Linked DNA regions of Canis lupus familiaris. The protein of the gene in region 1 purifies or fractionates together with the protein of each later gene. This does not show direct contact. Links are inferred from orthologs where the notes say so. Each region holds a gene or a part of one and is shown in the gene's direction. Other genes may lie near its edges.

Region 1 (3,818 bases):
TGGAGGCAAGTATTTTAACCAAATTTCTAAATGTCCTCAATCAAATATATAGTTTTCTGAATATTTAAGATTAACATAATTGGTAAGAGCATGCATACTTTCAGTGCTTTCTGTGGAGTAGTTTTTACTTCAAAACTATTTAAAATTTGCCTTTGTGGATATCAAATTAGTAAAATTAGTGTAAGTCATTGGCATATATGATACTGTGATGAAATATGTATTAAGATAAAGTGCTAAATTTAACAGATACTCACTTGACCGAAAAACACTCCACATATTAAAGAAATTGGAAACTTTGGGTAGGTTCTCAATTTTAAAAACACCGGATGACAAAGTTACTTAGACATAGTTTATATGGAAAATCTTAGTCTGTGTGAAACAGTGGTTCATATAGATTAATTCTTATTAACTGTTGACCCATTAATATTCTGCTTACTTCCAAGAAAGGATTTGAGGTATACAAATACATGTACATACAAGACATGACCAAGAGTCATGTGAGGAAGATGAAGTTCAAGAAATGTGTTTAAAAAAAAAAAACAACTCTTAGTCAAAGGGTGGATATTGAAGCTTAGCGTAAGTACAGTGACAGATTTGCATCTTTAGTAGGAAGATATTTTTCTGCTCTGCCTCTAAATCTAAGATTGAATATAGCTTATAGGTCATGGATCCTTCATGTGAGTCAGGAATACTGGACAGCAATACTATCTTACTAACCTAAGGGACAAAGTGAACATTCAGTTTAAGCCGTTTAGGTTCAGAAAGTTAGAAAAGTAGAGAACACTAAGTTTCCAATTTCAGTTATTTCTGTTGAGTCTTTCTCCAGAATTCCTCTCCAAATAAACACTCTTGAGTATTTTCTGTACTTAGTATTGGGGATGAAATTTCTTTGCTCACTGAGTAAAGAATTTTAGTTGTTCATGAACAGAATTTTCAAGTAAAAAGCTGAAGGGGGCTAGGAAATGTATGATACTCAAGTGTGTGGAACCCTATGGAGAGGAGACCTGGACTGTTTCCTGAGATAAGGTAAGTGCTATGTAATGTTACACATAGTGTATCTTGATCTTTGCATATCCATTATTGTCAATTTATTTGGTGATGACTGCTCTATAGTTGCATTGTTTATTAAGCAGTCACTTAAATAAGTGTTCAACTGCATAAATTGCTTAGCAGGCCCCCCCCCCTTTTCTAATTTGATAAGATCAAAATGTTTTTTGAAAAGGTGATGAATATTAACCTTTGTCACTCCTGTGACTCTAAAAAATAGAAGTAATGTTTTATTTCTACTAAATGGACTTGCTTAATGAGATTTCAAACTGAATTTTACCTTCAAGTATAAACTATATGAAAATCACAGATGGTTATAAAAAAACCCAGCATTTTTAATGGGATATACTAGTTGCTGCTTATTTTCATGTTTCAAAAGCTAAAACTAATATAGTAAGTAGTCTTATTTCTAAGTTTTGTGATTTATTGTGTGAAATTATCTAGTTTATGTTATATTCCTTTTAATAATTGATTATTGAGAAACAGTTATAGAAGCAGGATTAATAGGCAAAGTCTTAACTGTCTTCTTCAATAGTATGTGTAGATCCTAATTAACCCTTTGGGAACGTGTGTTCATTTAAACAGACTTAATTTTAAGGAGGTTAAAGTAAAATGTGAATTCATGTGAGTTAAGTTATGCTAAAACTTATCACAATTCAAATGACTGTCCTCAAAGGGTTAAAATGTACAAGAAATCATTTTTGTCATTTTACTTTTTTTTCTGTTTACTTTTTTCCCTCATTTTTTTCTTTAGTTTTTATACTTTCCTTCATATCATTTGTTCTGTCAGGTGTTCCCTGGCCATCGCCTTGCCCATCTCCTTCCTCTCGCCCACCTTCTCGCTACCAGTCAGGTCCCAACTCTCTTCCACCTCGGGCAGCCACCCCTACACGGCCGCCCTCCAGGCCCCCCTCGCGGCCATCCAGACCCCCGTCTCACCCCTCTGCTCATGGTTCTCCAGCTCCTGTCTCTACTATGCCTAAACGCATGTCTTCAGAAGGTACAATACCACAATTTGTTCATGTTTTTGTTTGTCTTTGTTTAACTCCTATGTGAGTTTATAATTACAAAATAGTTTCCTCTTCATTATTTAATAACCTATAATTTCCGTGTTTTAACTTTAGTTTATTAAAACTATTTCTATTAACCTTTTGTTCACTAGAGAGAAATTGAATAAATGCTGTGTGAAGCTATGAACTATCTTGGATTATAAGAATGGGAGTTTATCTTTGGTAATAATGATGATCCTTTACAGCCCCAGAAGGTCTACCTCATGTTTTTGTCCCTCTCAATATACACTATAAACAGTGGTTAATGATAAACAGTGGAACTCTGTTCACCTGGTCTTGGACTTACTACAGAACCTATCATTTTACAGCTCCTTGGCCAAGGTACTAGTGAACCTACTTGTTGGCCATAGGCAGTAGTGGTGATTTAGGGGTTCTTTTTGAGAGGGACATTCCATATAGCTGCCTTTGTGTGTCTACTCTTAGATTATAATACAGAGATTGGTTTTATATTGGAGGAATTTAAGAAAATTACCTTTGTAATATGTTCTAGTGAAAGTCTTAATCTGAAAGAAGTCCTTGATCATCTAAGATAAAACATTGTTAATAAAAACCATTTGTCCTTGTCAAAAAAAAATCCTTTAATTCTCATGCAATGTTTGATGGTAATACCACCATTGATATATATCAAATACATGAAGGTATTATAGAAAGGTCACATTTTAATATAAATGCAGTGCATATGTTAAAAAAAGCTACTTCCTGAATGATAAGTCCTTTTAATGCTATCTCAGGGTATTTGTGTTAACATTTTAATCTGATTTGTTCATTAAAATCATAATTGATATAGCTTATGTTGAGACTAAGACCGTTTTCTGGCATAAAGTGCTTCCCTGGAGAAAGCTATGTTGGCTACTTTTCAATAAATTGTTGCCATCTAGGGAGAGGGAGGTCATGTGATCTTGATTTAAGTGGCTAACATTGAACAGCATGTTGCATTGATTTTCAAGGTGACTTCCTTGCTGGAAAGTGCTGGTAATGGTAACCACTAAATGAAAAGTTAAAATCTGTTTTAGTATTAGTTGTAGTGCATTGTTTGAACAAAATAGGACTCCTTAGTGAGTATGAATATCTTCACTACAACAAGTTGTAGGCTGCTTATGGAGGGACTGTTTACACAGAAGTATACCTTTTGCACATTCAGAGCTGCTACATTATGCAGTCTTTTTAACTAATTTGAATTAAAATGTTTTCCAGTTATGTAGTCAGGTGACACACATTTTTAAAGTGTGAACTTCAAACATAGAACTATTAAATACATAGAACTATTAAATAAACTATTAAATTCACAGTGGTTTTCTGTGTTTAATATAGAAGAGTAGTTTGTATTCTACATATTACCAAAAAGAAAGAATTGTTTTTCAAGTTAGAGTTTAATTTCATTGAGCTATACCAAGTCTTATGACTTCTTGGTCTTTTTCTCTAAATGGATATAAAAAAATATATATGATGTGTAGATACCCAATTCTTAAGTCATTTTTTATATAAATCATTTCTTCAGTTGAAAACTAAAATATATAACATTAACATTTCTTTTTAAGATTGTGTCCATGATTAAATTCCTACTGAGGGCACAAGTTTATTTGACATGCTCAAGAGTTTGGAAAAAAAAAAAAAGAGTTTGACTGGAAGGTCAAAATGAGAACCATTGGCTTTGACATTAAGAACAAGTTTTGCTGAATATTAGTACTGCCTGGCTTTTCC
Region 2 (4,274 bases), on another chromosome or scaffold:
TCTCCTTATAGAGATCTTGCTTGTCTTTCAGGTCTCAGATTTTTTTCACTTCCTCCGGGAAGCTTTTCCTAACAGTACCGGGCAGTCATATATATGAAAAACTGTAATCACAATGCCATGTAGAAAGTGGAGCGGGAGTTACATGTGACTTGTGGGGGTCAGACTTGAAAGTTCCCTGGAAAAACACAACTAAGAGGGAGCAAGCAGTACTTTTATTCCTACTACAATGATTGTACTAATAAACACCCAACATTAGGAAGTTGATGTTTCTTGCAGGGTAAGGAAACGCTTTTGAACTGTGTTCAGGTTAGGTAGTGCCAAGGCTGGCCCTTTGCCTCCCTCTGGATTAGAGAAAGATCAACCTGTTGTTACTCATAAATGAGGCTCCAGAATTTCTATGGGGGATGAGAGCAGGTGGATTTCGTATATCAGATGGACACTAATGGGGGAGGGCCAAAACTGCCCCAAGGCCACCTTTGTCACTACCACTGCTCCACATTCCTGCCCTTTGCCTGGCTTTCTAGAGAGGACAAGATGGGAGGAGATGTGGAAGCATCTTGAGTTCCAAGGGTGATGAGCGATCATGGAGGAACTGCATTCATTTGTACACATTATCTCACTTAACCTCCTAATACTCTAGGAGGTATTATTTAATGCAGTAAATTGCACCGTCTTTGGAAACAGGTAGACCGAATTCTTTCCGGTTGTGCGACCTCAGCCAAGTTTAGTCTAAGACTTTTGTTTCTTCATCTGTAAACTGAAGATGTTGATTCTCACCTCAATAGATTGTTGGATGCTCAGTAAGTAATAATATAGAAAAAGTAATGATACAGGGTCAGGGTTAGTAATTTGCTCAAGGTTATAGAACTTAGTTAAGTGGCAGACCTGGGACTCCGATCCTAGTTTAGCTAATCCTATAGGCCATGTTCTTCCCACTAGTACTTTGTAACTGGGTATAATCGTTTTGGGCAAGTTTCCTTAAGACCTCTGGGCCTCAGATTACTCTATGTAAAATAGAGTTCATTCATTAAAGTCTTGTGTCAAGGTGTGCACATAATAGAGATTGCAGCTCCCTTCTCCTTCCTCTTTTCATGCCACGTAGGTCATTTATCTTTAACTTCTAAAATGGACTCTGCAAGCACTTTATAAGCGGGCGCAGTTGCACAAACACTTATTCAGATCCCCTTTATTTCCTCTTTTTTCCCTTTCCACCTAGGCTCCCGCCCCACCCAGAGCCAGGCCACGCCCTGGCGTGTGACGTCAGCACGCCTCGTGCGTCGCGTCGCGGCGCTCACTGGGGGCCCGGCTTTCGCCCGCTGCTGCCGCCGCCGCCGCCGGCCGCGGCTGCTCTCCCAAGATGGCGGCTCCTCCGGGCGAGTACTTCAGCGTTGGGAGCCAGGTGTCGTGCCGGACGTGCCAGGAGCAGCGGCTGCAGGGCGAGGTGGTAGCCTTCGACTACCAGTCCAAAATGCTGGCTTTAAGTATCCTTCGCTGCGCGGAGCCCGAGCCCGGGCCGGCGTGTATGTGTGGTGGTGGGGGGGTGGGGGACGACGGCGGCGGCTGGGGCCCTCTCCGGGCCTAGGGGCGACCGGCTACCGCGGCGCCCGGAGCGCATGCGCACGGCCCTGAGCTCCCCTCCCCCTCTTCGCGTGTCCCTCGGTCCGCTTTGGGGACCCTGTCTCCCATCCCTTGTGGGAGCTGGGCCCCGAGCGAGGGTCAGTGGGTGGAGGGGGGCTTGACACGCGGATGCCTTTTCGGGGGAAACGCTGTGAGAGGCGATACAGTGCTCCAGAGAGAGAGAGGGTGGTCGTGGGAGGGGGCTGGTGGATTGGAGCCCGGATGGAAGGGGGGCGGGTAGAATCATGTGGGGAGGGGGTGTGTAGAGTAAAGAGCTGCTAGTAGGGCTGGGGTATGGAGTTTAGGAGGGGGTGTCTGCTGGGAGGATTTGGTTCAAGGAACGGCGGTGGGGTGGTGACCAAATGGGCCTCGCCTGCTTTGGGGGGAGAGTAACTGCAGGACAGTTTGTATCTGAAATGGGGATAGGGGCTTATTTTGCTGGTGTGTGTGTGTGCGTGGTGCTGTTGGGGGCGGGGAGTACTGAATGAGGTTTCTCAGTCATTTGAAAATTGCTGTTTTGAGAATGTTTCCATTGGAAACCTGGTCCCAGAGAGAAGGCCACGGTTTTTAGGGGCTCGTGTAGGGTTGTGTGGGTTACAGGTGAAAGAGTAAGTTACGTTCCCTTGCTCAGCCCAGCACATGGAGTCCTGACTTTTCCATAGTAGTTGCCTCCCCTTTTGGAAGTGGTGGTGATTAACAGAATGGAAAAGAAGGCCTGCTTCTTTGGGGTGGAAATGATTTCTGAATTACTCCAGGAAACTCAGTCTTGGAAACAAAATAGTTCCTGGTTGTAATAAATGTACCACCCCTTCCCCTCTTTTTGAGCCACAGGTGGGTTTATTTTTTTGAGGAGTAATCCTTTATGGCATCTTTCAAAAGGAAGTTTTCTACTGAATGCTGCATTTGAGTGGCAAGTATTTTAATTTATTTAACCACTAGTTGTAGATATTTTTAGCTTAGGAAGATGTCCTCTACAGCAAGAACTGTTGCTTTTTTTGGGTAAAATGTAAAAACTCAGACCTGGACCAAATAAGACCTTTTACATTAGTGGGTTAGTTGGAAGGATTTTGGAATGAGGAATTACTTTATTTTTAATTGGCATATAATATACTCTTGATAAATAGTTGGAGGAGGGGTGAGTGAATGAATGAATGAATAAATACATATATAGATAAATGGGTTAAGTAGCTGGGTTCACCTTGAGTGAGCCTCCTTTCCAGTCCTATAGTTTTCTCCTCTGCGGAATGGGAAATCTGAAATCGAAAAAAGTGAAAAGAGCAGTATATAGATGAAAGTATTATACCAAGAACAGAGAGTAATGCCTCTTCTGTGTGGTTCCTTAGGTCCAAGACAAACTCTATATATGGCATTAACACTGCATTATGCTTCCATACAACCAGTAGAGAGGTGACGGAAACCCTTTCTGAGGCTTCCAATTTTGGATGGTATTTGGCTTTGAAAAGCTTGAGATCTTTTGGTTCTGGGGTTTTGAGCGGGTGGAAGGTGACAGGCAGAGATTTCCTGAGGAGAGCTAGGATTCTTGTAATGCTCCCCCTTCTTGCTCGTGGCACACCTGTTACACCAGCCTCATTTCAGTTGTTTTCCATGCCCCTTTTGGGATGCGTCAGTGCTGTTTGCCTCTATTTTCCTTAACTTTATTTTTTTCACCAGAATGTCCCTCTTCCAGTGGAAAGCCCAACCATGCAGATATCTTGCTCATAAACTTACAGTATGTTTCAGAAGTGGAAATAATTAATGACCGAACAGAAACCCCTCCTCCCCTAGCTTCACTCAATGTTAGTAAGGTAAGGACTTGCGGGCAGTTCTGGCTCCAAAATGGGAAACATTGAGACTCCTTGGCTCTTGGTGATACATACATTGTCTGTTGTTTTTCATTTTTTCCATTAACATAAAATTGTTTGTTCTGATACCTTTTTGAAAAACATACCGGTTTAGGTTTCTCCTTATTTCTGCGTACCTTCAGACTTAAGAAACCTTCTAATGCCCAAATAGAGAAATAAAATTGCAAACTTACTTTTGTCCTTAGTGAAAGAGGGCTGTTTTTTTTTGTTTTGTTTTCTAAAAACCTGGAGTCCGTGCGTGAACTTCTGGTATTAGTGGGGTTGGGTAGGGGTGATGTCTGTGAACCTCCTGAAATTGTGTGTATGTGTGCACACATGAATATATATGGTTTTGGTGAACATATGGAGTATTTTGCAGATCTGTGATTCATGACCTACAAAAATTTGAAAACTACTGCCTTAAAGCTTCATTTTTGTCTTTATGTTTGAATTTTGAGGTCTGACAGAATTAGATGTTTAGAGTAATCTTACATGTTGGTATCTTACATGTTGGTATCTTACATGTTAATCTTACACCCCCAAATCACTTTGGCTCATGAGTTCTATCAGGCAAAATTTCATGTATTATAAAAATAATACTACTCCATGTCCTGTCGTCTTTGCTGTCCTGTACTTTGAACACTCTTATTTCCAGAATGTATGGAGCCTCATCTTTCAGGACTTTGTTAATGGCACCTCTTCCAGGAAGTCTTCTCTGATCATCCAAGTAAAGTAATTTGCCCCCATTATTCTCTCATAGTACCTTATCCTTTAGAGCTAAGATGACATAGTGTTTATAGTACAACTTGGGACATT

The links.
Region 2: the proteins of ATXN2 (region 1) and LSM12 purify together in Homo sapiens (affinity purification with mass spectrometry; 4 studies listed by BioGRID and IntAct, with this or other methods). This does not show direct contact. The link is inferred for Canis lupus familiaris from reciprocal best matches to the Homo sapiens genes ATXN2 and LSM12.

The regions. Positions count from the first base shown.
Region 1 is NC_049247.1:9,346,714-9,350,531, reverse strand, and holds part of ATXN2 (ataxin-2), read left to right. Parts: coding exon 1-5; intron 6-1,837; coding exon 1,838-2,047; intron 2,048-3,818. UniProt on the Homo sapiens protein: Involved in EGFR trafficking, acting as negative regulator of endocytic EGFR internalization at the plasma membrane.
Region 2 is NC_049230.1:19,181,631-19,185,904, forward strand, and holds the start of LSM12 (protein LSM12 homolog), read left to right. Parts: upstream 1-1,244; 5' UTR 1,245-1,357; coding exon 1,358-1,481; intron 1,482-3,288; coding exon 3,289-3,422; intron 3,423-4,274. UniProt on the Homo sapiens protein: Nicotinic acid adenine dinucleotide phosphate (NAADP) binding protein. Confers NAADP sensitivity to the two pore channel complex (TPCs) by acting as TPC accessory protein necessary for NAADP-evoked Ca(2+) release.